4 linked regions of the Lonchura striata genome follow. The protein of the gene in region 2 interacts with the protein of the main gene of each other region in a pairwise test. Links are inferred from orthologs where the notes say so. Each region holds a gene or a part of one and is shown on either strand. Other genes may lie near its edges. The genes, in order: PPARG, HTT, RNF20 and NFKB1.

Evidence for each region.
Region 1: the proteins of HTT (region 2) and PPARG interact in binary tests that used the Homo sapiens proteins (3 or more experiments, as listed by UniProt). The link is inferred for Lonchura striata from reciprocal best matches to the Homo sapiens genes HTT and PPARG.
Region 3: the proteins of HTT (region 2) and RNF20 interact in binary tests that used the Homo sapiens proteins (3 or more experiments, as listed by UniProt). The link is inferred for Lonchura striata from reciprocal best matches to the Homo sapiens genes HTT and RNF20.
Region 4: the proteins of HTT (region 2) and NFKB1 interact in binary tests that used the Homo sapiens proteins (3 or more experiments, as listed by UniProt). The link is inferred for Lonchura striata from reciprocal best matches to the Homo sapiens genes HTT and NFKB1.

Annotation. Positions count from the first base shown.
Region 1 is NC_134614.1:4,878,621-4,885,902, reverse strand, and holds the start of PPARG (peroxisome proliferator-activated receptor gamma), read left to right. Parts: upstream 1-4,262; 5' UTR 4,263-4,329; intron 4,330-7,282. UniProt on the Homo sapiens protein: Nuclear receptor that binds peroxisome proliferators such as hypolipidemic drugs and fatty acids.
Region 2 is NC_134606.1:9,473,782-9,481,802, reverse strand, and holds the start of HTT (huntingtin), read right to left. Parts: upstream 3,001-8,021; 5' UTR 2,900-3,000; coding exon 2,799-2,899; intron 1-2,798.
Region 3 is NC_134642.1:59,176,504-59,183,629, reverse strand, and holds the start of RNF20 (E3 ubiquitin-protein ligase BRE1A), read left to right. Parts: upstream 1-4,110; 5' UTR 4,111-4,215; intron 4,216-4,244; exon of another isoform or gene 4,245-4,371; intron 4,372-7,105; 5' UTR 7,106-7,126. UniProt on the Homo sapiens protein: Component of the RNF20/40 E3 ubiquitin-protein ligase complex that mediates monoubiquitination of 'Lys-120' of histone H2B (H2BK120ub1).
Region 4 is NC_134606.1:48,747,438-48,754,504, reverse strand, and holds the start of NFKB1 (nuclear factor NF-kappa-B p105 subunit), read left to right. Parts: upstream 1-4,053; 5' UTR 4,054-4,220; intron 4,221-7,067.

The sequences.
Region 1 (7,282 bases), on a different chromosome or scaffold from region 2:
GATAAACTGGTTCTAAATGAGGCTCAAAATGATCTCTTGGTTGCTTTAAAAGGATTCCTTCAGAAATGAATTTTGGATGGATTAACATCTGACAGATACCAGTATGTGCTTGAGCTCCTTATTCCTATATTTTCTTTTACCTGCTAACTGTCTGTGATGTGCAATTGGGGCCCATTTAATCAGAATGCAATATCATATTCAACCACAGAAGAGCCAGACAGTCCTAGAGAGGAAGTTATTCCCTCCAAGATGAAATCAAAGTTAAGAGTTGGGGGGAGTCTGGAGGTCAGGAAGAAAACCATTACAATTTAGAGGTAGGCAGGCTGGTGTGATCTTGGCTTTCATGAATTTAAAGCAGACAAGGTTTGGATTTTTTTCTCTTTTTATCCAAGCCTCGAAGTTCAGGCAAAGGAGGCTCATTTTTAAGGGGTTCTTGTTTTGACCCGCTCTGCAGTTATCTGTGAAAAATCTGCATCGTGCCTGCCTCTATCCCTCCTGCTGGATCCCGGGAGAAACTCACCCAGCACAATCCTGTACTCAAGGAATGCAGTTTATACCCCAGGTTTTGCCATATATCTGTGTAAAATGCTACTGATAGCAGCTGAAACTCTGAATTCCCTTCAAGTAAAGAGTGTGCAAGCTGTAGATAGGAGTGTGGTGTGATATTATGACTTACTTTTTAAAAACATGCCTTGCCAGACCAAAAGCTGCCAGTAAAGACAGAATGAGATATGCTGAGGCAAATAAGATATGCTTTTTTATCAATAAAAGGACACCAGATATATGAATTAAAATATTGCATTGCCCAAGAGAAAGAACACGGGGTAACTTTAAAAAAAGGCAGCAATACAGGACATTTTTAACCTTTTTAAACTCCATTCCTTTAAAGCAATGCAATTTGCACAATCAGAACTTGCTGCTCAGGCTGTCAGACTTCTGGCTGCACTCTCAGAGCAGGAGATTGCCCTCTAGATGTTAAAGGTTTGGCTACTTCTCCATTCCATCCCACAGCACCAGCATAGGACACACTGCAAGATTTTAAACTTGAGTAATGCAGCCAGAGACTGAGCCCAAACCCAGGGGAAACATAAAAAGTCAGTAAAAGAAGGAATTTGTGTCTTTGCAGAGATGGGAAGGAGTAGAAATCCTTGCAAGGCTGCCACTCTTTTCAAGCCAATTGTAAAACTCACAGCATCACCTCCAATAAATTAGTTTTTCTAGCCATAAACACCTACCTGGAATTCCTTAGAAATTGTTGCACAGAAATTCCTTCACCAAGATGGAAAAGAGAAATGAAACCACTCAGGGGAGGTTATTTTGTCATTGCTAACACCCTTATCCATCTGGAGATTCCACAGAGTACTCATTTCAGTTTCTCATCTCAGTGAGAACTATTTTTGCCATATGATTCAATTTCATCTACTTCGAATTTTCTGAATAATTGAAACACATAATGTACAGTCAGTCAGTCATAACTGCAAGCAGAAATAATTTTTTTCAGATGCAATAAATGCTTCAAAAAGACTCACCACGAAAAATGGGCTGATTAAAGTTAGTTTAAAATGCAGTTCTTTCAGATGAAAGGAATTAACTGATGCCTTTATACCCAACAAGAAAAACAGAGTATAATTGATCTTGTGTGAAGGCAAATTATCTTCTAATTTTAAAACCAGAACTGATGCTGAGAGAGTCTTTTCTGCTTCTCTTTGAACTTAGGGGAGAACTGCCCATGGATCAGCAAGGCCTGAGCCTGACATTTCACTCTTGTTTCATAACTCTGAGAGCTCCCAGCCAAGCTTAGGAATCCTCACAGATAAGGAGGGGAGAAAGTCTGGATCATCAAAAACTGCACAGTCAAACAATGCAAACAAAAACTTATGAGAAGCTGATAAATGTCTTTATTATGACCATTTCATTACAGTATAAAGCAACTTGATTACAGAATAGATAATATATTTGTAGTCTGTAGTATTTCTTTACCAATACAGAAATGATTGGCTTTCTCTGAGAAAAAAAAAAAAAAAATCCACTCTTTGTTAAGGAAAAAAAGAAAAACAAAAAACAAAAAACAGATTAATTCAAATTATAAATAAGGCATACTTTTAATTACCAGAGAAAATGTATGGGCTCTTCATCTTGTCATTCTTCAAACTAAGATTAGCTGTCCAAAAGAAACATTTAATGAGATATTAAATCCTAACTAGAAATCCGTGTTAAGCAGGAAATCAGACTAAAGGATCTTTTCCTTTCCTGTCTCAATCTGCTAAAATGCATATTTACAAAATCTAAGTAATTTTTACGTAAGTTATCGTTCTGGTTTTGCTTTATGAGTTCTGTTCAAAAGGTGAACTCAGTAAAGAAAATAATGCTTAGAACAAAAATAGACTGATAGTGTATTTGTAATATTCCTGTGAAAGCTGTGTTTGGCTGGTTTCTCTGGACTGACTTAGAGATATCTGTCTCACCCATACAATTTAATAAAAATCCAAACTGTGCTTTGTATTTCTGCCTTTATTAAAAGCCTGGGCTCAAAGCAGGACTGCACAGTTCCAACTGGATGTTATCAATACCTTCCAATTTTTGGAATGCTTCCAGTTGAGCGGAGTTTGAAAACGTTTGCAGGTTAAATTTTAGGGAGGGATCCCAAAGGTTTGATTTTTGGGGAGGGATCCCCTTTTTTCAGACATTTAAGCTAAATGGGGAATTCTCCAGCAGCAGAGCAGCAGTTCTGTTCTCACCAGGGCTAAATCAGAACTCTGTGAGGGTCCAGCTCAGATCCTTCTCCTTTTAATTTTCTGTTGAAATTCTACTTCAGCTCTTGCAGTACAGTGGTAAAAATACTAGTAACCAAGGTATTTTAAACCTCTTTGTTAAGATTGTTTTGCCCACATTTGCCTCTTTGTTCATCCATGGTAATTCTGAGGGTTTGTTTTACTTGTTTGCAGGACCTGGCTTCTAATTCTGAGCCAGGGTATTACTGGAATAGGTTATTACTGCAGTATGTTAAAATAATTTTTAAAATACCCAACCCAAACAATAAAAAAGAACCACTTAAAAAAAATATTTCCACATTTCCAAGGCGAAAAAAAATTCAGATGAAAGGGAAAAAGCAGGAATTGAAAGAAAAAATCCTTGATCTGTCAAGACAGAGGTAACACCTCAAGCCTATACAAATAGACAGATAATTCTCATAAAAATTAAGACAAGGCTTCAAGCCTCTGCAGACAGAGAGATTGTTCTCATAAACAAAAGGCTGGAGGCAAAGTTAGTATCTGTAGGTAGTCCAGGTATTTTGACGTGTTCAACCCTAATCTATAAATTGCCTTCAGTATACAAATAATAAAGCAAATGTGGGCTCTCTTTCAAAATGCTTGATGACTAAGAATAATGAGGCAAATTTGGGATCCTCTCAGCCTTCCAGTGATGTCCAAGGGATCAGGAGTTTTTCAAGATAAACTGTTGTATCCCGGGGCACCTGGAGTTCCAGGATGACTCTCTAAAGCCTGTTGATCTTATGCCTTTTTTTTCCACATCTAACTTCTTTTTCAAAGCCTCAGAGGCTGAGATAGAGGAGGTGACAAGCTTGTTTGGGCTTGCTGCCTCTGGAGAGGTACCGAGCACAGCCTATAGCGCTCGGCTCTGCATTCCTGGGAGGGGGGAAGAGCGCCCAGAGATAATCTCAAGCGAAAAAAAAAAAAAAAAAAAAAGAAAGAAAAAAAAGTGAAAAAGAATTCGCTTTACCTCCGTTAGTGCTAAGAACCTTTTCAGAAAAGCCTTTACTCCTGTCACAGCAGGACACAGCCTGACGTGAGGCGACCCAGCCAAGCAGGCAGCGCAGAGCGGAGCTGGCTGCAGCATGGCAAGGCAAAAGAGAAAGCAGCCGGCAGGCGGAAAAAGTGAATTTTCAGTTACGGGAGATTACGGGGAGCAGAGATCAAACTCCAGCTGCGCTGCGGGGCCGCGCTCTGCCCTCGGCCACACGCGGCTGCTCCGGCTCCGCGGCCGGGCCGGGCCGGCCGGGCGGCCTGAGGGGACAGCGGGGCACGAGCGGCTCCTCCTCCTCCTCCTCTCACTGCCCCGCTGCCTCTCCCGGCCCGCTCCTCTGCGCCATCCCTGCGGCCGCCCCCGGTCCCCATCCCCATCCGCTCCCCGTCCCTTTCCCTGCCCGGCCCCGCTCGCCGTGGGCCGGCGGAGGCGGCGCCGGGGGGAGGCGGGCCCTGCCCGGGAGGCCGGGCCGAGCGGGGGAGTTTATCCCGCTGGAAGGGAACGGCAGCTCCCGCTGAGAACTGACAGCGCCGGGGCAGTGCGGCTGCGGGCACCGGCCCCGAGGTGAGGGCGGCGCGGGGCTCAGGGAGCCGCGGGCAGCGCGGGCAGCGCGGGCAGGGCCGCCGGGGTGCGGGGTGCGGGGATGCCTGGGTGCGGAGTGCCGGGGTGCGGGGTGCGGGGTGCGGGGTGCCGGAGTGCCGGAGTGCGGTGTGCCGGGGTGCGGGGTGCCGGAGTGCCGGAGTGCGGGGTGCGGGGTGCCGGGGTGCGGGATGCGGGGTGCGGAGTGCCGGGGTGCGGGGTGCGGGGGTGCCGGGATGCGGGGTGCGGGGGTGCCGGGATGCGGGGTGCGGGGTGCCGGGATGCCGGGGTGCGGGGTGCGGGGGTGCCGGGATGCGGGATGCGGGGTGACGACGTGCCGCGCTCCGGCCGGGGCAGCCCGGGCGCTGTGTCCATGGTGCTGCAGCGGGTGGCGGCGGAGGATGCTCGGCGGCGGAGGGGCGATGTCCCGCCCGCAGAGCCGGAGGTGATGGGGAGCGCGGATGGATGGGTGGATGCGCTGCGCGCCGTCCATCCCTGCCGCCCGTGCGGGAAGCTCCGCCAGGGCAGTGCTGAGCTCACCTGGCTGCTCTCGTAATGAATGAACAGCACCTTTTTTTTTCCCCCCTCAATTTCCCAATCGCAGAAAGTCGGGGAGCCTCTCACAGCCTGCAACAACTGAGATGCTATGTTGAAATATATTGTGTCTTGATGGCATGCCTCAGGTTCGCAGGAGCGTTTTGTAATCTTCCTGGTGTCATTTCTCCCCAGGGTATTCTGCAGCTAGAGAGTGCAAGTTCCTGTGGTGTTGTAACTTTGTGGCCCCGTGTACACACGACAATACTATGCTGACTTAACAGGGATGCGTTCATTAATATTAGTGATGTAAGGCTGGTATTTCTTGTGATCAAAAGCTCAGGGAATTACCAATTTCTGGATGTCCTTTGGAGTTTAGGTTCCTTTAAATCAGATGGATTGGTTTTAATTCTCCTTGAAATAACCAGGGGTTTGGATTTAGATTTGTGACTTGCTGTCCCATCTGTGAACAAGCTTTTGCTGTAGAGCACTGTTACAATGTTCCATTTAAAAATATCTATTTTCTGGTAGCAATTAGTCTATCATTTAATAAGTAATTTACCTTTTAAAAGGTTACTATGATTTGTTACTAGTTAACCAAAAATTCCCAGTGTACACCAAGCAATTGTGACATGATACTGAGTGCTCGCCTTTGAAAAGAAGTTTCATATGGTGTGCTCTCCTTAATAGCAGAATTTGGTGCATCAAGTGATGTGTTTGACATCATTATTCACTTTGGCTGTCACAAAAAAAAAAAATTGCTGCAAAAATTGCTGAGAGATTTAATTATGAGATTACAAGAAATCACTCCTAGCAGTGTGTTAAGGCATGTGGCACAATATAAGCATGGGCTTGTCAAGGGGAGAGAGAGCTGAAAAAAAATAGTTGGCACTGACTTTGAATGATAACCAATCAGAAATATAATATAAGGTATTTTTACACAGGCAGCTTTTGAATTTGAATGTTTTTAGGCATCAGTTTTGTAAAATATCTCACTAACTTGTAGTGGTTCAGAGATTCTGTACTTCTAAACAGCCTTAAGATGGTCTGTGTTTCTTAGAAATGCCAAAATCCTGGATAATGCAATGTATTTAACATCAGCATTCAATGAAACTTCCATTAGAACACAGAATATACAACTAATACATTTTTCTGATATAAATTTGTTTTGTATAATGAATCCTGAAATGAAGGCGGTGATATATTAGAATTTAGTTGAAGGATATTGAAGCTAAGCCTTTTAACCTTCCTTATGGGACTGATAAATGCACCCCTTATCAGCAGTGCTTTTGAATCTGACTCTTTTGTGAACTTTTAAAATAACCGTAAGTCCATTTCTAAGTTGATAAATTTAGGCATTGTTTCAATTACTTTTAGTGTAATCTCCTCCTTATAGTAATGGCTAATAAAATGAATTTTGAAAACAATTTTATTGTAAAAACAAGAAAAAATTAAAAGTAGAATGAAAAATCTGTCTTGTACAAAGGTGGACCAAATAATGAAAAGTAAAATTAATACTTTTTTTCACCTTGATTGGTGAGGACAACTTCAGGTTTTTTTAAATGTAATCTGCTCAGAGTGGAGTTGAATATCTTTCCTAGCCCTTTTCAGTAGCCTAATAGTGAATCAGTAATTGTGTCTATTTGATATTCAGAATCTGTGTTTCTTTTACAAGCTTTTTGACGAGGATTATTCCCATAATAATCACGCAGTAAAAGTTTCCAGTGCAGTTACTCAAGAGGAATCATCCTACAATTACAAATTCTCCATGAGTCTTTTGAAGTCTTGGATAAAATATTTTCCATTAGTTATTGCTACTAGGTTCATTTTTTAATCACTAATAGGTTTATTAAATCCAGCATGATGTTAGATGATAAGTGCTAATTATTTCATTCTGTATTTCTAGTTTTTTAACAGCAGGATCTGGTTTTCAGGTACTTTATGCCAAATGTTCTCTGTGTGTCAGCTCACTTTTTGTGAACAAGAGGAAGAGTTAGAAACAATCAAAAGCAAGAGAACATTGATGTACTCAAGTCCCACTCCTCACAAACGGGAGCTGGGGGTTCCCAGTAAGAGATCAATTTAAAGGACTTCATTTACAGAGTACCTGGGGAGAAAATCTCCTCCTTGCCCCGGCTTTTTCCCTGTGGGGGCTTTTCCAAGGCAGAATGAAAAATGGAAAAGCCGTAAGATTTGTCTTTGGATTGATATGAACCATCAATTGATTCCTACATTAAATGATAAACCTTTTCTATTTCTTTTGTCTATTCCCCCTTCCACTTTTTATTTTCCACAAAGGGAAGATCCCAGGGAGTTTTTCCAGTTGTGCTTTCTTTTAAATGTAGGGTAGTCCACTTTTCCCAGAGGTGCTGCTTTCAGGTTCCAGGGACAACGTAGAAAATGC
Region 2 (8,021 bases):
GATCTTGACAAAAATAACAGAAACTAAAAACTATTATTTTAATAACAAACAGAAATATGAGTGGATCAGATCAAGAAATAAACTCAGTCCAAACACAGGGGACACCCAGAAACAAGGTGCATTAATGCAGGCAATGATGGATTGTCAAATTAACCAGAACTGATGTACTACATACCCTAGACATGGTAAAAAACCATCAAGGAACCGCTTCTGACAAGCAGGCCCATAGGTAATACCCATGCAGTTTGTGTGATCTTCAGTAAAACAAAACATTAATGCTAGGCCGCCATATAGCACTGACCAAACCAATCTACAGCTTCAGTCAAACATAAAAGACACGGAAAAATTGAAAAGTATAGAAAAAAAACCATATTGCTTGGGCTTTTACAGTACCTTTTCTGTAAAGGTAATGGTTGGAATCAAATGTAAAAAACTTGAAAACAATTACAGTAAGTGACTACTACAATAAATTGACAAGAGAAAATGTAAGAAATCCATTTTTGGATTCACAAATCAAACTCTAAATTTTTACATCATACTAGTAAACTAAGTTAGTGGGAGCTTTGTGATCCAAAACAAAACATCCAATTTCTAACAAAATGTCAGTCTGAAAAAGCTGAAAAAATATAAGGAAGAAAATTAGTTGCCTAAGCAGAAGTGCATAGAAGCAATATGATAGGAGAACTCAATTTTACATAGATGGGAAAAAAACCCCAACAAGAGATAAGAAAGAGGGGACCAGAGACTAACATCTGACTGCATGGTATAACACATGATTATTGCTGATTAGCATCTCTTGAAACAGAAAAAGATCTTATCTTCTTGGTAAAAGCTTGGATTTAATAAATATTTTAATAAAAAAAGACAGGATAATGGTATTATCAAAAGTTCTGGAGTCATTGTCTTACAATAAAGTGAAGAAAGATATAAATACCTGCTGGGTAAACAATTAATTCTTCTCTACCCCAATCTCTCTGATCTTAAAACATTTCATAACAGGAGACAGTCCTCAGTAGGATGATAGGAACTTACTACACAGAACTACAAGATGTGTATGTGTTATTTACACAGAACTACAACAAAGATGAACACTTCTCCCCAAACACAATTTTCCTTTTCAGTCTACTACAAACAAGAAAAAACAAATGCAGATAGTATTGTGAATTACATTCAATATGTCACCTGCTATTTCACTAAAAGTCTGAGAGGCCTCAGCAAAGGCTGCCACAATAGCTTTTCACTGGCTTTTATGAGGCTCAGTGCTGTCACAGAATTTGTCCAGTTCCTGGGGGCATACAATCCCATCAGCTTTTTAAAACAGCCTATTTTTAAACACAAAGCAAAGTCAAGGAGGACAACTCCAACACTAATTTTTTAATGTTTACAGCAGAACATACCTAAATTTAGACCATCAAACCAAGCACAATATCACAAGCATCACAAATAATTCTAAGGATTTTCTCCTGCAATACCATGACCTCTCTCACCAGTAACAAGACAGAAATTTGAATAGCACACAGAAAAGACTGGAAATAGATGTTCATCCATGTCACACAAAGTACTAGCAAAAAGAAATGCACACAGCAGAGAAATTAGTCCCTGCAGACCAATAAGGCACCTAAGAACAACGAGCTCATGAAGAAGATGAGTTTTCTCACCTATTAAACATCAGAAGTGTGGAAATGCATTGTGATTGTTTGAGACAACATTCTCCAGAGAGAAACAACACCAACCGTGATAATTTAGTTGGCAACTGTATCAGAAAGTGCAGTGGGAACGGGTGGCCAGGAGCCCAGAGCCACTGCTCCACTTCCCCTGCCAGCACCACAAATTGCCAAGTTAGAAATTACCTGCTCCTCAATCCTTCTGCTTCCACCTTCTCCTCAACAGCAGGAGAAAAAGTACCTGTGTGACTCATGTCTTTATCCCTAAAAACCTTCCTGCCCCCACACCCGCTCAGCAAAGGCTGGTGTTAGGGGGTGCAAACGCAAGGGGCAGCACCGCGGTACTGAACAGCTCCTTGCCCTGGGGCACCCAGCAATGCCCCCCATGGAAACCTGGATATCTCATGGATCTAACACGTTTATCCCTTACACTTAAGAATTAGGAATGTTTAAACCATCTTCTCTTAGGTCCCTATGCAGCACACAAGACGTTAACTTTGTCACAGACATTCACAACATCTCCTTCTGAAAGCATCAGAGCTCAGACTAAAACTCTTCAAATTTGCAGTTTACAAACATCAAAACATTTCTTAACTTCAACATGAACTTTAGGTAAAGATATGAAAAGTGAATAAGAGAGTGGAAGAAATTTCTCTTGCTCAGCCTTGAACCCTCATTTCAGGAAAGCGGTACAATCGGCTGCAGATAGTTCAGAAAAAGGACACTCATGCAGAAAGCGTCAAGCACAGAAAAACAAGGTCTCACAAAAAGCGCTTCAGCAGTTATCACAAGAGAAAATGCTCAAAGTAGTGCTTTATTCAAGTTATGCTTAAGGGTTTTGGTCTTTTTTGCAGCAGTGTACTAAGTGAAAAAAAGGCTTTCCTTCCTAGAACCAGCCTGTGAAAGCCGCACAGCGTTGCTGTACCTCCCGGCCATTTCCCGCACGGGTGACTTTTCAAACGCACTTGGCCCAAAAGTTACTCCGCGTGTGAAGCGGGGCAGAGAGCCGCCAGCGGCAGCGCGGCACGGCCGCGGGAGCCGCCGCTGCCGGGGAACGGGGCCGGGCCGGGCCGGGCCGGGCGGGACGCGGGACACGCGTGTCGGGAGCCGCGGGTCCCGGCGCGGGGCACTCACGGTCTCTGCAGCGGCTCCTCGGGGAGGGCGGCGGGGCCCTGCTGCTGCTGGAAGGAGCGCAGCGACTCGAAGGCCTTCGTCAGCTTCTCCATGGTGGCCATGTCCGCTCCGCCCGCGCCGGCGGCACCGGCCCGCGCTCCGACCCGCCCTGTCACGGGCGCCTGGCGGGTCCGAGTGCTGTCCCGCTGCCGCTGCCCCGGGCTCGCTCCCGGCGCTGTGCCGGCGCTCTGGCGGGCCCGGGCCCGTCACAGCCGCGATGAATGGGGCGGGCGCCGCTCGGGGCCGCGGCCGCCTCCCGTCCGCCCCGCCGCCATCTTGGATCCGTCCCGCCGGCCCCCGCGCGCGGGCCCCGCCCCCGGGGCCGCCCCGCCCCCCCGGAGCGGGGCCGCGGGCCGGGGCTCGGCCGCGCGTGCGCACATGGCAACCCCGGCCTGGCGTCACGCGCCCCATTACGTCGGAGCACACGGGGACACGCGGGCCGCGGCGGGGCGGGGCAGCGGCCAGAGCGACAGGAGCTCTGGCCAATCAGAAGGGAGCTCCGCCCCTCGCCGCGTGCCGGAGCGGCCGAGCGCGGCTCTTGCGGCGCCCCCTGTCGGCAGCGGCGGTGGCGCCCGGGAGGCGGCGGGGCCGCGCTCGGCTCCGGGCGGGGCCGGGCGGGACCGGGCGGGACCGGGGGTGCCGCGGGCGGGGAGCGGCCCTGGCAGCGGCCCGGGGAGCCGCCGGCAGCCCCTGGCACTGCCCCGCGGGGAGCCGCGCTCCCAGCGGCACCGCAAAGCGAGAGCAGGCGCTGTGCGGCCGCACGTGGCGGGTGCGCAGCAGGTAACGCGCCAGCCCCCGCGGCACAAGTGGCGGCCAAAGGCGCTGCCGGCACTCCGGTTTTATTTTAGGCTGCAGAGACTCTTACAGGAACAGGACACTTAAAACTCGGCAGCGCACGTGCTGGCCTTTCAGCGCTGCGTTCCTGAGTGTGGATCTGCTTTATCAGAGCATACTTAGTGTGCGCACATACAGGATACAAGAGCGACAGTATTGAATATTCAAGTCATTGATTCCATTAGTAAACAGAAAAAATCGACAGTTCTGTTAAGTTTCCAATTGCAACCACTGATTTTAATATATCTACTTGTTAATACAGACATTAAATTACAGCTGATGAGAACTGGCAATTCAATTTATCTCACACACACAAAACCGGTTCCAGCAGTAAAAATGGAGAACAACTCAGGAATTCTAAGAAAATAAATTTCCAGTAACTCAGCTTGGTTATTGTTAGCAGACATGAAGAAATGAAGCAAAGCTCATGTCTCTGAAAATTCAGGGCAAAAGAAGTCATAGATAACATTCTTGCCAAATACTCACTAGAACAGCATTCTCTCTGCCAGTTAATTTTATTAGTATGTTAATAAAAGAAACTATTTGAAACAGTCCTCTGAAAGGAAACCTATCCTTAGCCCTGAAAGCAATTCAACTTGAACAAAACCTTATTTCATTATAGAAGTGCTACAAAATGTGAGCTTTTAAGGTAAGACCAGAATTTCTGATAATTCTATGATAAAGCTTGCAGAAACGTTTCTCTGGAACATGTGGATAATCATGAATTTTTTATTTAGCAAATGATACACGATAAGAGATGACAGCAGAGTTGGAATGCTGCACACTCTGTGCATGTGCCACTCCACACTTTGAAATAAATGTGAGTAAAAAGAGCATAAGGTCTTATCAAAGATTAACCAAGCCACCTTGCGAGGCTGTTTTGAAGCTTTCCATGCGATGTGCCAGTCCCTGCGGGCTGCTGACTCACGGGCAGGAGCGCCAAGGCCGTGCCTGCCCGCAAGCTCGGCGCTCTTTGTTCTCCCTGTCCCGAGCTCCAGCGCTGAGGCTCATTAGCTGTGAGCTAACTGGGAGGTAATTCCGGGTATCAGCATTTTCTATCAGTAGGTTCTGCCAGCCCAAACTGACTGATCCATGGTTTTGCAGGTATCACGTCACTGATCTGTCCCACAAACACACACTCTGACAAAAGTAAAGAGGTGTAAACGAGGTAAGGGGCAAGAAAAAGCAAGGCAGGATTAGAGAAGTGTTTTTGTAAAGTCAGCGTTACTTCAAAGAAAAATGAAGTTCCAATTAACAGTGCATACCTAAAAGAAGATCTGAAATTTAGGGGATGACAACTAATTAATCCCAGCCTCCAGAAGAAAAAGGAAAGAAAAGAAACATGCTTTAATGTTGTTTCTTAAGTTACCTCTTGATTTAATGCTTTTAAGATAAGCATGTCAAGAGTATTTTTTCACCCTAACCTGAAGTCCCACTTTGGCCAGCATTTCTGCATTTCCATGAACAATTCAGTAGGTAATTGGTACGTGACACTGCTGGCCCACATGGTTTGGCATATGCTCGGATCATCTGCAATATGTCACAGCACAGTTGAATGTTTTAAGGTCATTTAATTTGAAGCCCTTTTGGAGAGCATTTGGGGGCTCTGTCCTTCAACTCATGCTATAAAATTACAGTAAATGTACTAATGAAAAACAGCCCATCCCGATAATTCTGTCTTTTCACATGGAAATTTATGCCAAAGTCTAGATCCAGACCATGAGATAAGGTATCAGTTGAGCCAGTACAGCAGAACTGGGGCATTTTTTCCTGGATTCCACTGTCTTACACTGGTAAAAAGCTTACACTATGTAGGAGACATTTCCTGCTTCAAGAAACTGGAAATTTATTTTAATTACAATTTTCTTTTTTTTTATTTCTTTTTCAATCCCAGCTACCATGATAGACATGGTAAATAAATCACATTAGACAGTAATACATGTGGTTGAGATATGTGGCAGTGTTTTGCTTTTATTTTAGGAATTACAATGCTAGAATGTCCAGGAAAACAGCTCACACAAAAACAGTCAGTGGTTTGGAGATGCTGGAAGTAACACATCACATTTAACAGTCAGCTTCCTATGCCTGGAAAGAATTCTGGTGTTTTGGACACAATTGGATCATGGAAAAAAGTTACCTACATGTCATGTGCAAAACTTAAGTTACACCACAACAGCAATTATGAAATAAAAAAGAATATTTCATTAATTCATTCAGAAGAGACATAATCATCACCAAATAAGCGAAGTGAGTAATTAAAATCAAATCTTCAGCTTAAAGATGCTTTCCAATAATTAGAATTTCACTTCCTAAAGAGAAGTGTTTCTGAAAACCTATACTAACTAAACTGAAGATAAGTCCCATGTTAAATTCATATAATGCTAAACTGTAAACCATAGAAAATTATTACTTTTGTTGTCATATTTTAGTAACTTGTAAACAAGTATTCTCCATCTGTATAAATGGCAATGAAGAAATTCTTACATCAGTGTAGTTCGAAAAATAATTGAAGTGCATTCTAATAATGGATTGTTAGTTGGTTTCAATAGCTTCTATCATTGATTTATAAACCAGATGATTTTATTTTGATTTGGAGATAATTCTCTTTCATACTCAAAAACATTCAGGACTACTGTTTTATGAATGATTTGGGGGGAAAAAAAAAGAACGTGATATTAAAGGCTAAGGTTTGTCAGTAACACTCTTGTTGTTACACACATACTACAGGTTTTTTCCCTACTTACTATTGGTTTTAAGTGCTCATTTTTTCAGCTGAGACTGTTCTGTTGTTTTTATAATCCAGAAACAATACCATCTCTATTATGAACGCACCTCAGGGGACAGGGGGAAGCTGACAGCTTTCTTAATAGAAAAAAAATCCCTGAGGCATGAAGATTTTGTTCTTCTGGTCACAACATTGAAAAGCATTAAGTAAATCAATAAGACACTGGTACATTGTTTCACAGTTTCTGAATTTTGAGCTAAATAGAGAGGTTTGAGGTACTTGCAAGCAAACATGAAGATTTACATACACAAATACTTGGAAACACGCCACAGGAAAGGAGGGTTGATCTCATGCAAATAACTCCATGGAATTCCATAGGTCTTTCCAAATCTTGCACCAGAAGAACATCGGATTGTCTCAGTGCTGTTAAAGCCTTCTAACACATGGGTCTAGAGAATGAAGTCATGCTGAATTACAAGAAATTATGTTGGCTTCCCCCATCCCACCCCAACAGTTTCATGGAAGTAAAAGGCCACATGATCAGTAAACATAACCTGCTATTTTCCCCCTTCTTTGTCCCAGCTTTGTCCTAAAAAAATTCAAGAGTTAAGTTCATATTAAATTTCTTGCACCGTGATATTTTGCTTTCAGGCATTCTCCCCTCTCTTTAGCCTTTCCCTGCTTTCAAGATGCACTTCCAAGCTCCTTATATTCCAGTAAAGACTGGAGTATAAGTAAAGTCACCTTAGATTAAACAGCATAACATCTTCCCTCTGTGTATTGTGTAAGGAGACTTATGCTGATTGCTTATCCTTCCAGTTCCTTGTTTTTTCTAATTCTCCAGGGGATTCACATCAGATAAATGCAGTCATTATTATGTGCTCGTATTTCTAGCCAAAAGGGACAAATTTATAGGACAACAATGCCATCTTGAGCCTGTTGGGGAAGAACCAATCAACTAACCAAAAGAACCCAAACCCCAAACCCAATGAAATTAGGTCATAATCGAACAAACATGTATTCACTCAAAAACAATTCAATAGTACTATTCTGAACTTAAGGAAAAACTTGTGAAATTACACTTGTGAAATAAGTAAAACTTAATAAAAACAAATTCTCACTTTTTTACAAGGAGTTCCTTTTTCCAAAAAAGCGGACATGTAAATAACCACTTCTAAGGAACAATTTCCCTTTCATTTAGCCCTCTTTCTTCACAGATTCCTGGAAGATATATGTTAAGCCCAAACACTCCAAAATAGAGAAGTGATTTTTTTTTAAAGTTAAGATTCCTCTCCATCTCATACAGAAGGAGAACGTGAAATACATGATAAATAGAGTTTCAGATTTTTTTTTTTTTCAATCTGTTAAAACTAATTCCTGTATTTTCTTCATAAAAATTACTCAGCTTGTGTTCATGGTATTCTTCCCCAAATTTCAAGTTACTCTACACACACATTAAATCCAGACAGTCACCCTACATGTCTGGTGTTTATACAGTCACCTTTGCCTCAGAACAACAAGCCTAAGACCTTAAAAATTCAAACCCCTTAATCAGGGAAATGATGACTTCTCCAACCATGTAGGTATTTATAAAAACCTTTTGTTACTTCCCTATTTTCCATTCC
Region 3 (7,126 bases), on a different chromosome or scaffold from region 2:
GCTGGAAAACTTTTACTTTCTCTTGCAAAATGAAGTAATGTTATTTTGTATGGTCACTGGGCACTTTTCACTAGTAAACTCTGCACTCTGTCAGAGGCACAGAGTGCTAGCAATTTCTCTGCTTTTGCTAACTGCAAATTTTAGGAGAGTGCTTCTGGAACTAAAGGTCAGATGCTGGCATGAGAGAAGTGGCCTGTCTAGGAAAGTCTGAGTACCATTTGTACAAGGTTTTAACTACACAAAGATTCTCAGGAAAATTGTGTCAAATATAACTATTTTAAAACTGCTTCAAATCTCTAAGGGGCAGCCTTATTTGAAATTTAAGAGGTTTTGATTCAGTTTAGCTGAATGGTGTTTTGTTATTCCACCTAATAATGGATGTAACATGGAGGCTCAAGTATTTCACTCCTAGTTAATATTTTTAATTCATTCTGGTAATTTTTTTTGTTTGAAAGTCTTAAGGTTAAACTTAAGCAAGATATAAAAGTCTGTGACTAGTCCATGATCTAGAAGTAAAACCTGCTATAATGACATGAGCTACATTGGCAAGGATAAGGCTGAAGGGTTTGATTAGAGATTCTAGAATTGATTTTGCGAATTCTGTAATTTTCACTGCTGAGTAATTATTATCTTCAAATGCAGCTTGTTTTCTTTCTCTGGTCTCTAAATGCACCAGTAAAAAGCTTACCAGGATTCTGAAGAGCCTGTCTTTAAAATTCAAATGCATCTACTGCAATTAAATAAGTTTGGATAGTTGTCATAAGCTCCTTTACAGGAAACTCTTCATATCACTATTTTCAGGACTATTTCTATTTGCTCAAAGGAATCCTCTGCACAGACAGCAAATTAAGGTGGTGTGGTGCCAGGACAAAAAAAAACCAAAAGAGAGTGACTGAGGGAAAGGGAAAGAGACAGTAAAGCCTGTGCTCTGTTTCCTGGGCTTTTCATTTCTCCTTATCACTATGGCAGCTGGGCAGTGAGGCAGCAAGACAATCACTAATAATCCCTGCTGAGACTTTCCAGCCTGGGTTTCTCACTGACTGAAATCTTTCATTCTGTCTTTTTCAGATTGCCTGCCAGGATGATCTGGGTGTCAGTGGAGTGAGAGAGCTTCTTCAATTCATACACATATTCTCCATTTAGCATTAAGTGTTTCACTACAAGAGGAAGACAACTAGGGTAGGAACATGACAAAACAAAAGTAAGTGAGAATTTTTGTGCAGCATATATAAGCAACTGAAACATTTCTATTCAAGTTCCTTCTGGTCAGGTGACAATGGAATTTCTTTACTACACTTGGGCAAAATAGGATCAGTGTCTCTCTCCCCAGATGTGAGTCATAAGTATCCTATTATGCTACTTAGGAAAGAAGAACTATCCAATTCTAATAACAATAACAATAACAATAACAGAAAAAAAAAAAAAAAGTAATGCAACTTCTTTCAATGGAAAAGCAAGAACTCACTGCATTGGCTACAGCTCTATGTGTGTTCATTTTCTTTAGTCAGCTTGTCTGTCAAGAGAAAGACATCCCAAATAACATAAACAGCAATTGTTGGCTGGATCAAGGATGCTGTGGAGTGATACGTTTCTGTGTGATCTGATCCACTGAGTGGATATCATTAGGTAAAGTACCTGATCTTATCAAATGCAGTTCCACTGTTGGCCCTAATTGATGTGAACCTTGCACAGCACCCTGCAGCACCACCCTTCATTCCAGTTCATGCCCACAGCAACAACGTAGACTACTTCACAATACCTGAGAAGAAAACCAAAAATTATCCTATTTTCAGAGCACAACCTTAGCTACAATGGTATGTTTTATCCTTACCTTACAATGAAGTAAGGATAAAGTCATGTCTAGAGGAGAGGACACCAGAACAATCCTCAAGGACAAAATTTTGAGCAAGGACTGAAGCTTTGTTCTTCAAAGCTTAGCTTTTAAAATTAATCTTGTTGCTGCTTATCACACTTTGGTAACATGAAAGTGCCTCTTCCACAAATAAGCCATTAAGACAGGGATGTCTTTTAAGACACTGGTGTTTCTATCTTTGCTTCAAAGCACCAATGATCAAAATAGCAGGACAAGATAGAATCACTCTGCCTGTAGCCAGTGTATGAGGAAATTAAGGGGGGTTAGGAAGCTCAGTACAAGCCCTTCATCCTATTTATTTATCTATTGTAATTGTTTTTAAGAAAAAAGCTACATTTGCTGTGAAGTCAAAGACCTGTACACACATATGGCAGGTCTGGTACTTTTATTTCGAAGTATGTTCCACTAATACGCATTTTAAATTTTTTTTTTTTTTCTTTCTCTGACTTTTCCTTCCTTTACTTCACCTCTATGATCTGATCTAGAAGGCACGGAATAGATGTGCCAGCTGACACAGGACTGAGGGCTGTGTTTCATACCTGCTCTTCTGGGTGCCTGGCACTGCATTATCACAAAGTAACTGCTATGGCTCCAGTTAACAACCCAGTTAATGAAAAGGCTCATTTGTGTGCTGACACAAAAATACATCTTTACCACAGAAATATTGATGCACATGGCTTTTCTCCACTGAATTTGGAATCCAGTTATCTCCTCTAGGGTAGTTAGTCTGCTGTGAGCGTTTTGGGTACTGTTTTACTTTGCCCAGTTACTCGTTGCCTGTAGATGTCACTTTTCCACTTTATAATCTTAGACTGGCTGCTTCTTATGTTCTTGAGCCCATTTTTTTTTTTTTTTTTGTGCTTCAAAGCTCAGCTTTTAAGTGTGCTTTCCTTGAGTGTGCAACCTGCAATCCCTTTCTTCATCTGCCATTGACAGCACCTGTGTTGACTGGCCAAAGCTCTTCTGTTCCCATCTTTGGGATGAATCTGTGCTCTGCTATTTCTTCAGGAGACTCCAGGCACACAAATCTTCTCCCAAAAGAGAGGATTTCCCTCTGCCCTCCAGGTGAGAGGGCTCCCAGACCATCTCCCATAGAGCCTTTCCTCTTGGAAGCAGCACAGTTCTGCTGGATCAAAGATAATTTTAGGTACTGTCCTGGGTATGCTAAAGCTCCATATTTACCTGTATATTTGCAAACACATCTGGGTAATACATGAATAGTTCACAATGCTGTGTCTCCACCTCCCACCTTACCAAAGAGGATGCATTTCACACCCATGTGTTGGGCTTTCATAGCAAATTTGGTGGCTACTACTACTCCTACAACTTGAGGGAAAGACAGTGTTTGAGGTTTTGTGGGTCTTTTTAATTTGGAATAGGGTTTTGGAACAGGTAATGGGTGATGCTCAGCCTGGTCACAAGGCTGTGCACTTCTTGGTTATAGGAGTTTCAGTCCAGCCAGGTCCCCTTTAGTGGCCACAGTCTGAGCATACCAACACTGCAAGCTCCAAATTGTCTCTTTTCTAGGCTTTCTTACACAACTTTTTTATTCAGTTCATGTCCAGGTCTCCGGTGGTTTTCTTCATACCAGGCTCCCCTCTGCTTATGCTAAGAACATGTGCACATTCTTTCCAAGAAACACCCAGCTTCAGTCACTTCACTTCTTACCAACTGTAATTTTGTAAAGTGTTCAACTCTTCCTTGTAGTAATGGCAAGTGAAAGACTACAAGGTTCAGGAAAAAGCAACCGTATTTGCCATATTCCTGGTAGACTAAGTAATTGCAAATTGCTGGAAGACTCTCTGCAGTTCCTCTGCACTAGCATTGGATTGCTTGGCTCTCCCACTTTCTTCAAAAAAGAATCTCAGTTATTAATACAAATATTATGAATCCCTCTCTTTCTCTCCTCACCACTCAGATTTTTTCTTGTATTTTTTTCCCTCATCTGCTGTTCTGTCTCTGCATAATTCACGCAGTTAATCTTTAAACAATACTGAGGAAAGCAGAACATTCTCGCTATTGGAAGGGAGCAAGGGTGTGGCCTCTCCAGTGCCGAATGCAGGGGGACGATCACTGTCCTGGCCCTCCTGCCACACCATGGCCAGGACAGACCATTGATGTTTTGCCCACATTCAGCATCTGTGACGCCCTTGCCCCCCGGTCCGGCCGGGACACGGCTCCATCCCGGGTCGGGCAGGGAGGCGGCCGCTCCGCCGGGGCCGCGTGTGGGCGGGGGAGGCTCCGCCCGCGCCGCCATCTTTGGTGCGGGTGAGGGCGCCGGCGTCTGGTGCCGCTGCGGTCCCGCCATGTCGGGCGAGGGCAAAGTGGCGCCTCCATGACGGGTGAGGGCGAAATGGCGGCCGGAAGGGGCGGCGGGGGGCGGCCATTGCTGACGGGACGGGGTGCGGCGGCGGCGGAGGAGGAGGCGGCGGTTACGGCAGCGACGAGGCGGCCGCGGCGGCTCTGTGGGGACGGCCGGGGCCGCAGAGAGCCGGGAGGTGCCGTGCGGAGGACGGAGGGGGCGCTGGGGGCTGCAGGCAGCGCACACCCGCGGAGGGAGGGACGGGCCCGCGGCGTGTCCGGCTGGCGCTGTGGGGAGGTGCCGGGTCAGGGGCAGGACCCCCGCGGGATGCGGGAGAGCGGAGGAGCTCTGGGAGCGGCTGGTGTGTGGGGAAGCTGAATCGCAGAATCGCAGGGTTGAGATCACCCTGTGCAACCCCCTGCCAAGGCAGAGTCACCTGGAGCAGGTGGCAGAGGAACACATCCACATGGGCTTGGGATGTTTCCGAAGGGGAGAGTCCTCGATGTTTGGGGAAGCTGCTCCAGTGCTCTGCCACCCTCAGTGTTTTTCCCCATGTGGAATTTTTTGGGTTTTAGTTTATGGCCACTGCTCCTCATCCTGTTGCTGGGTAGCACTGAAGAGTCTGAAACACCCTCTTAGTACTCACCTTGGAAATAATTGTGTGCATTAATGAGATCCCCTCACAGTATTCTCCAGACTAACCAGGTCCAGATATCACAATCTCTTTTTATAAGACAGATGCTCCAGAGGCGTCATCATCTTTGTGGCTGCCACTGGACCCTCTCCAGCAGCTCCTTGTCTTTGTACTGAGGAGTCCAGTCCTGGACACAGCACCCCATCCATGCCATGCTAGTGCCAAGCAGAGCAGAGGGTTGGAAGTTTTCCCCTTTCTCCTCCAATGCTTAAAATATTCCTGCTGAGTCTGATCTGAAGCCATGGAAAAATCCTGTTAGGCTTGTGGATGGAACATTGTTTGACTGGAGTTCCTGCTGGGGAGTATAAACTCAAATAATAGTTTTAAAATCTGCCCAGTGCTTTTATTTCTGTTGTTCTGTGTCTGTACATAAATCCCGGTTTATATGTGTGTAGTGTCTGTAGTATAGTTCCTGTACTGTAGCAGGAACATCAGGTGGTGGCAGGTGTAGTAAAGGTTTTTGATTTAGTTGTAAAATGATAGTAAGTAAGAAAAGAAAATGTAATTTGAGTTTCAATTGATAGGGCTTGTAATCAGAAATCCACCTGGTTTTTTTTAAGTAAATACAGAATGACTGAGTACAACTTACTCTGTTAGTTAGCAGAGCAGATCAGCAGTTCTGTGTCAAGAAGGAAATAAATATGACATTCAAAGAAATGTACATTCATGATTAGAGTTCTTTACCTCTTCTGTGTGTGAGCAGCAGAAAGGATTGTCAGGCACTGGAAGGGCCTTGTCCAGGGAGCTGGTGGGTTCCCTGTCTCTGGTTGGATGTGGCACCCAGTGCCATGGTGTGACTGACAGGGTGGTGTTGGTTCATAGGTTGTACTCGGTCTCAGAGGTTTTCCCATTCTAAATGATTCTGTGAAAGACTGGGTCTGTGGCCATAAAAAATTAGTGGGTTGGGGTCTTGTGTACAGTGTATGAGGAGGTTGTGAGAGGGGAGCTGGAGCTGAGAGGGGTGATGCCAGGAGGCAGTGGAAGGGGTATTTTGTCCCTGGACAAAAAGTGTGAAAGGCAGTGAGCAGTGCTGGCTTGCTGGACTGACAGGGGACAGATGAGATGTTTTTAGTGATAGCTGTTCCCTTCCAATTCTCTTGGAATTCCACCTAAAGTCAGAGCTGCTGCTAAGAGAAGGAAAATGGTTCAGTGGCAGTTGTCTTTCTTTGTAAATTTGAGATGTAGTTTAATGTTTCTGTTAAAAGATACCTCACAGGATCTGTGCTGTTTCAGTAACTCAGAAATAATTTTTATACTATTTTGCATATGATGAAGGGCACTGCCAAGCTGAGATGCTTGTGAATTGCTGAGATTTGGCAAAGCAGTGTACGATCTTCATCTTCAAAACACAATGGCCTTGTGGCTTTCAGTCGAACTGCTCAATTAAAGCAGGTAGGAACTGGGAGGTTCAGTTCATAACCCCTAGTTTGACTGTAAATGCCATTATAGGCTTAAATGGAACAAGTCAGGATTTACTGGTACAGTCTGCACTTCATTCACTTCTGGTTTCATTCAGTCTAGAGGCTGCCACAGCACCAGTGGCTGTGGGAGAAGACTGCAGCTCATGTCTAGTGAAGATTGGTTGGTTCCATGTTTCATCTCCAGTCACTTCCATTTGTATTGTAAACCTTTTGAGGATACACTTGTAATTTTGCTCAATAATATTATAGGGAACTACAGGAATTACTGTTCAGACATGAGAAAAGCCTTTTTTAATGTTAAGGATGATCAAGCACTAGAGAGGCTGCCCAGAGTCATGGCTGAGTTTCTGTAGCTGGAGATGCTCAGGTTGCCTGGACAGGACCCTCAGCAGGCCCTGCACTGGACATGCTTTGGCTGAGCCTGCTTCATGCAGGGCACAGGGCAGGTGGCCTCCTGTCTTCCCTTGCAATCCCAGCTGTTCCGTGATTCTCTAGTAGTCCAGAGCTTTTCAGACTGGATTGACTTAGGAGTAGGTTCTCTTGAAAAATGTTCACATCTCTCCTGGTACACAGCAAAACTCTTGGAATGGGTCTTTGCAAGCCTTGGCTCCAGGTTGCTTTTCAGTTCTGTAGGTTTTGTAAGCTCTCTAAGTACAGAGGTCATTTATTTCCAGGGTGTTGCTACTCTCAGCTTTGACTGGCTTTGTGTGTAGATTCAATAGGAGCAGTTTGGTTGTTGTGCAGTGAACTGGTGCCACATCCACACTGTCTCAGTTTTTTCCCAAGTCTAACCTGACTCATTTTTGTTAATGCAGAAAAGCAGAGAGTGAACCTGG
Region 4 (7,067 bases), about 39 Mb from region 2:
CTAATGGTTCTCTGAATGGTTTCTACAAACACAACCATTTCTATTCTGTCAATACATGCACATACTCTTGTACAGTGTTATTCTGCTCGGCCACTAAACCTGGGCTGCCAAGTAGGACCAGCCTAGGCCACACTTTTGGAAGAGAATGTATGTTCTGCATGAAGCAGCTTCAATGCTCTGATGAACTGGTCAGCTCACAACTTCTCACAGTGGTCTGGGTAGCTCCATTGAGAGCAGCTACCTTGCAGCAAGTTCACAGAGAATCTATAAACCACCACTTTTGGAGTAATCATCTGCCAGTGGAAAAGAAAAGAAGGAAGAAGGCATAGCATTACACAGACAAATTAAGGGAAGGCTAGGCTAACCATTCCAAAAATTATATATATCAAATTGCCTTCTCTACTTGGCTCTTTCAATGTCCTTTAGGAAGTGATACCCTATCATGTATGACAGTTGTAAGTAAATGTTGAGCAGTGTTCCCTTTCTTGTTTACTTCTAGCTCTCTCCAAAGGCTCCCTTTTCTCTGATAATTATACCCATCAGCCATATCTACAGCTTCATGGTTCTCTTATTTAAGTCTACTAACTCCCCAGTACCTGTCCCCCAGTAGTTATTCACTACTGAAAACTCCTGCCTTCAGCTCTGGCAGTCTTACCCAAAACATCAGAAATTTAGTCTTTCAGCAGAGATACATGCCTAAACTACAGTGGGGTTAATATGAGATCCCATGTCTGATTTGTGGCTCTGGAGGAAGCAAGTAAGAGGTACATTTGGGATGTGGCCTATGTAATTACAGGAGCCACCACACTGTTCAGAGCCTTGCAGGGTGTTGCTCTGATGAAGTATGTGATGAATTGCAGCCAGTTCAACATCCAACAAAAATGACAGAGATGATACAAAGTACTTCTCATGAATGCTGCAACATAGGGATTCAGCAGCACCATTAAACTCTACACCCTGCTAGCTGCAGTTCAAATGGTTGGCTTTGCAAATGTACATTGGCTATTTAGAATATTTTTTTCAAATATAGTTTCTATTGTCAACTTCATTAGGTCTTCATATATAGTCTCAGAAAGATGACACCATCTTTAAAATACAACTTTTTTTTTATTTTTTTAACATATTTTCTTCCTGTGATAGTGGTGGATTCAAGCTACAGGAGACAATGGCAATGCCAACAGCAAATATTGGCTAAACACTGACAACTTCTACGAGACTGAAGTGTGTTAAGATAATCATTGGCTACTATGTAAGGCAAATCAGTTTTTAAGTTAGCAGTTCTGGATTATCTGGATGAGAAAGAAATAATGGATTGACCAGAAATAGATTTGGATAGTATGGCATAGTAGCTCAATGAAGATGGGCAGTTGAAAGCTTTAAAAGGAAGTGTCTCTCAGTAGCTATTTTAAACTTTCCTTTACCTTTTCCTGCTTTAGCCTCAAACCTACTACGTCAAAAGGAATGAAAAGAGCCTATCCTGATTCCAATACATGCGTCAGAAACAGAAGACAAATAATGTAAGAAACTTTCATGAGTTTTTCCAATCCAGACATATCAATTAAAGACTGATTATTTTAAAAAATCTCTGCTTGTCTTAGATGTTTATCTATCATTAGTTACATGATTAAAAAATACTGAGGCCAAAGATTTCTGACCTTGGAAAGAGATCTGTATATCTGGAGTCCCAGAGCAAACCAAGCAGAGAAGAGGCTCAGCTTCTAAATTACATCTGCATATCAGGAAACTTAAATGTCCCCCACCTGACTGAGGTGAAACAGCCTGGTTAAGCGTACAGCTAGAAAGCCTTTCCTTCAGTGCACCTGCCCAGCCGCCAGAGACATGGCTGCAACCATTTCACAGTGGTTCAACAGCTCAACAGCAGGCATTTGCTCCTTTGGGTTCAGGTGTGATCACCTGCTCCTCATCTCTGGGCTGAGATTGTCCAGCTACTGAAATAACTTGATGGTAATAGTGGAAACCAGTGTTATTCAGGAAACAGGCAGCACTTCATCACTGCGAACCACTGAGCCTGTATTATCTGCCCGATTTCCTCAGTGGTTGGAGCAGAATTATTTGGCTCTTCAAGTGGGAATCCTGGGCTATAAAGCAGTACATTTATCTAGAGTGTTCTGTGAAGATAATTTTACCAAAGTGTGGGCTTACAGCCTGGCACTACTGTGGGTGTCAGTAGAAATAACACTTCAGCTATGGTATTAAGCTCTAAAAAAGGCAAATTTATGCTTTAAATATAATTGAGAAGAGGATTTTATTTTTGTGGATTTTTGTGGAAGCTGCTTAAGATTTCACAGGGAAAGCTAAGCCTGAGTACTTAAATGCATGTCCTTTTAAAATAAATCCACCAGGTAAGTCTCCTTAAGTTTTGGAATTTATCCACCTTGTCTGATTTCCTGGTACTTGTTCATACATGTTTTGCCCTGTGAGCACACCTTTGATTAGGTATGACATGGCACCTTTCCTTCCAAACGAATCTTATTTTGAAACATCTTTGTATTTAAAATCCATCTAGACTTCCTCCTTCAAGGGCTTTGGGACACAATTCTTTCCTCACAATTCTTTCCTATTAATTCAATGCATTTTCTTCCATTAAAAAAAAAATAATATTGGTCTTGAATATCCCCATATAATAAGGAAAACATGTTTTACTCGGAAATGCTGAGTCATTCTCAGCTCCCAGTATGTACTGGGAAGAGAATGGGGGACTGCATTGTTAGAATTGCATCACAGAGCATGAGTGGCAATCCAAAAAAAGGAAATTACTCCCTCTTCCTATATATTTATGTCTAACATGTAGAAAATGTCATTTTTCAAGACAGCAAAGAAAATCCCTTTCATCTCCGAGCTCTCTTTTGCATTCTCAGCTCTCATTTTAAATAGTGTCTCTCTGCTCCAACACAGAGATGTGACACAAAATGTAACATCTGAATCTACTCCCTTTCTGGTAAAAATACCCCTTTCATTTTGTTCCAATCAACAGGTGGCTTATGATTGGCCTCTCTTCCTTTTGAACATATTTTTGCTCTAGGTTACAATTACTTGCTTCAACACAAAAAAAGCAACAGTCATATTCCTTGGTTCCTTTATATGTTTGAGGTTTTAAATTCTTATTTTAAGCTATGATTTTTGTTAATCTCATTCATGAAGCCCCATGTTATGTGGCCTTAGCATAACAAAACTCCGCAGAGGCGTGCTGCTGACTTTCTGCACAAACACACATTCAGAGAGCTATGCTGGATGCTCATTTGAGACACTCGTCACCCTTAGCAAACCAGACGTTTTAAGATTTAGCATAAAAATATTTGAACTTGTTTTACATAGTATTTGTGCCAATTAAACGTGGCTCTAGCTGCCTTGCTTCAGCCTTGGTTAAATGTGTCTGGGAGACTTGATTACCATGCTGCAAACCTGGATTCTGGTATTAAAATCACATTATTGATGGTTGGCACTGTTCAACAGAAGCCAAGTTACCTGGGAGCCTGCTCTGTCAGAAACTGTGTAAGCCTACACACAAATGGTGCCGTGCAGCCCGTACTCCCTGCCCAGCGGCGGCAGGCATCGGGCGGCAAGAGTCGGAAAATTTCCTTTAATGAACTGCCTGGGAAAGCCAGCTAGCAGCCAGGCGCTGCGGCAGGGGGGTTAAATTCACCCCATGCAGAGTCTCTCTCTCGCCTTCCAAACTTTATATCTAGAGGTCAAAAAAACTTCGGCAGCCACCGGGTCGGGCCCGTATCCACAGAGATGTCGCGAATTCCGCCGTGGTCCAAGGAGCGTGGGCAAGGACGGGATGATTCTTGCGGCGGCGTAACTGCCCTGGGATGAAAGGACCCGCGTGTTTACGCGGTTTCACCCGGGCGGTGAGCCCGTCCCCGGCTCGGGGACCTCGTGGCCAGCGGGCGGCTCGGTACAAGCGCGCCCCGGCCCCTTCCCTGCCGCGGCCGCGCCTCCTCCCGCCCCGCCCGCGCGGCCCTCCGCGCTGCCGGAGCGTCAGCGGGAATTTCCAGCAGGAAGTGCGGCGGGCCGGCGGCAGGGGCGGAGGCTGCGCAGGCCGGTGCCGGGCGGGCGCCCTCGCCGGTGGGGCGGGCGGAAAGGAGGGGGGACTCCGCGCGGAGCCGGGCGGCGGCACGCCGGGTTACATGGCGCGGCGCTGAGGGACCGCCGGCGGCACAGCACGACGAGGAGGAGGCGCCGCCAGCTCTGCTCCGGTGAGCCCCGGGCGGCCCCGGCCCGCACTCGCTGCCTTCCTTCTCCCCTGTCTCCGCGTCCTCGCCGGCGGGAGCGGGCATTCCGCTGGGCTGGGGCAGGGATTGCGCGGCTCTCGCCTGCAGCCAGCCCGGGGAGGCGGCGGGATGCCGGCTTTGCTGCTGCTGCTGGGTTACCGGGCTCTTCCTGGCGAGGGAAGGGGTGCCCGTGACAGCAAAGTGAAAAAAACTTGCAAGCCCAGCTTCTGCCGCTCGCGTAGCGGGTGCTCGTAGGCAAAGGAGGCGCTGCTTTTGTCGCTTTTGGTTTCGAAGGTGACACACGGACGCGCTGAGCCTGGGACGCGGCCGGGGCACAGTCGCCGGCCGGGCTCAGGAGTGCAGGTGGGCACCACGGAAACGTGGGCTGGTTCTGGCAGCTCTGGTGAGCTGGTCTTGGCTGCTGCCCCAGAGTGCCGCAGACTGATTTAGGAGGTACGAAATAGTGAGGTTTTTAAACGTAACGTAGTTGCAAGTGGTGAAACCCAAAAGTTCTCGTCGCGACCGGGAGTGTTATTGCAGTGATTACTCAGTTACATTTGACCTTGAAACCCAAGAATATCGAACTTCTCATCATCGCAATTATTTTTTCATCTCTTGGTGCTTTCTGCTTTGGTGAAGGAGAGCTGCTGACTTATTTTACGTGAATGTGAATCGGAGTATTGTTTCTGTGACATGAGGTATGTGCTCTTGGGCCGTTATCATCATGTGTACTGCTGCGTATTTTCAAAATAAGTAAATCTCAGTGCCTGTGAGCATTTGGGGAATAAGACTTTGGAGGCAAGGGATCATCTGCTGCATTTCAACTTCCTGTCTTAAAATGCTCAAAATCTTCGCTTAAGAATAATGTTTTAAAGGAAATACATATTATTTGTTATCAAGATATTTTAAAATAGTTCTAAAATGATGATCATATTTGGCATGTTTCGTGCTCCAGAAGTCCTCTTTTCACTTACTCTGTTCACAGAGAAAAGTGGATGAATTCTTTGCCGTATTGCCTTGTGCCTTACATGCTGCAGGGTGTTACCACCAGCACTGTCAAGCTCACAGAACAGGGCTGAAAATAGAGCACTTCGATTTTATTGACATCTGGAGTCTCTCTGCTGTGGACTGTGTAGTATCAACTTTTGAAATAGTATTTCAGTCAAAGCACTTGTGTTCTTTCATGAAAGAAAGTAGCTGCCCGTTCTAGGAAAGCGTTAACCAAGACGTCATTCTAAGATAGCATCTTGTCAGCAATGTTTTGTAATCTACAGAAATGGCTACAGTTTATGAGAAAATGAAAGAGAAAAACGTAGTCTGTAACCATCCAGAAACAGATTCTCTGTTCCGTAATTTTCCCTGGCCTGAGAATTTAACTAACAGTTACGCAGAAATACTATTGTCAGGATGTGCCACAGTGCATGGAGATTTCGGGGAACCTCAGTGCTGAAATCTATGCAAGACATGTTAAAGAACTTAATTTGAAATACAAAACAGAAGGGAAAAAGCTTTCTTTCCACCCTTTGTCCCCTTTATAAAGAAAGAAATGTCAGTCAGTGGTAGAGTCATCAAAAAATGTAGTTACTGTCTCGTGCAAGAAATGAATACATTTTGAGTTAAAATTATAAAACAGAGCAGCTTTATATCACTTTGCATTGTGTCGTGTGTTTTTAAAAAACAGGTTTGTAACAGATAAATTAACTATCTGTATTCACTTTGTTCCGGCAACACCTCAGTAGTGGTTTGGTAGTATTTATTTTGAAATCAGAAAAGTCTGCTGGATAAAAGTGTTGGGACAGAGAAAAGGAGTAAGAGGGAGACAGGGTCGAAAGCAGACACTGGTGTTTCATTTATGTGCACGTTTGATGATATCCTGCTTCATTTGTTCAAAAATAGCAGTGCTGGTTACTTCTCTGTTACTACGTATTTTACTTTTGAAAATTAATTTAAACAATAAATGTAAGTTTTCTTTAAAATTTTACTTCTAAAAATTCAATAATAAATTTAGTTTACTTTTTTTCCTTGAGGTGGCATTATGTGACTTCAATAATAGATACCTGCAAATAAATATCATTGATGCAAATTTGCTAATTAATAGATTTTTGAGGTTCCTTTTCATTGCTGCCTTTTCCAAAACCTTCCCATGCCACTTTCTCATGAGTACATGCAACCAATACATGCAAAGATATATGTTCTGTTAGGAATTCATATTATTGTGCATATTGCTGACTCTGGAAAGATGGGAACTAAGTTTGAAGGCCTGTGAGTCTTTACTATCAGAGGTGCTTGTAATGCAAAGTAGATTTCATTTTTGAAGTTGCAAAGATACAGCGAGAGAAAATGTATCTTTTACTAGCTTACTGTTGGTTTTTTGGTATAGCTAGTGATGAGAAAATCCACCTGTGGTCCTCAGAGATGCTGATTAATTCTACTGTGTTTTCACAGATCGCTCCAAACTACTTGCTGAAATACTTTCACCTTTCACTGCTGTGTTTGCCAACTCTAAGTACAAGAGTATCAGTCATAAATAAAATTACTTGTTTATGTAAGCAACTAATGAAAGCTCTACAGTTAGTTAAAAATCCTTTCTTTCAACGTACTGATAGCTTTCTTTTGGTTCTCTGACAAAATAACACAGCTATTATAAAACAAAGAGAAGATAATGAATGGTTCAGGCAGGTAATGAAAAGGGCAATTCCTGGTTTTGGTCACTTTTAGCTCTGACAGAGGTATTTTAGAAGTGGAAGTTGTAATTTGATGTCCTTTAAAATAAGCTGTGAACCTTTTATGAAGTTCTGTGTTGATAAGATCATAATTATGGTTGTCATTAAC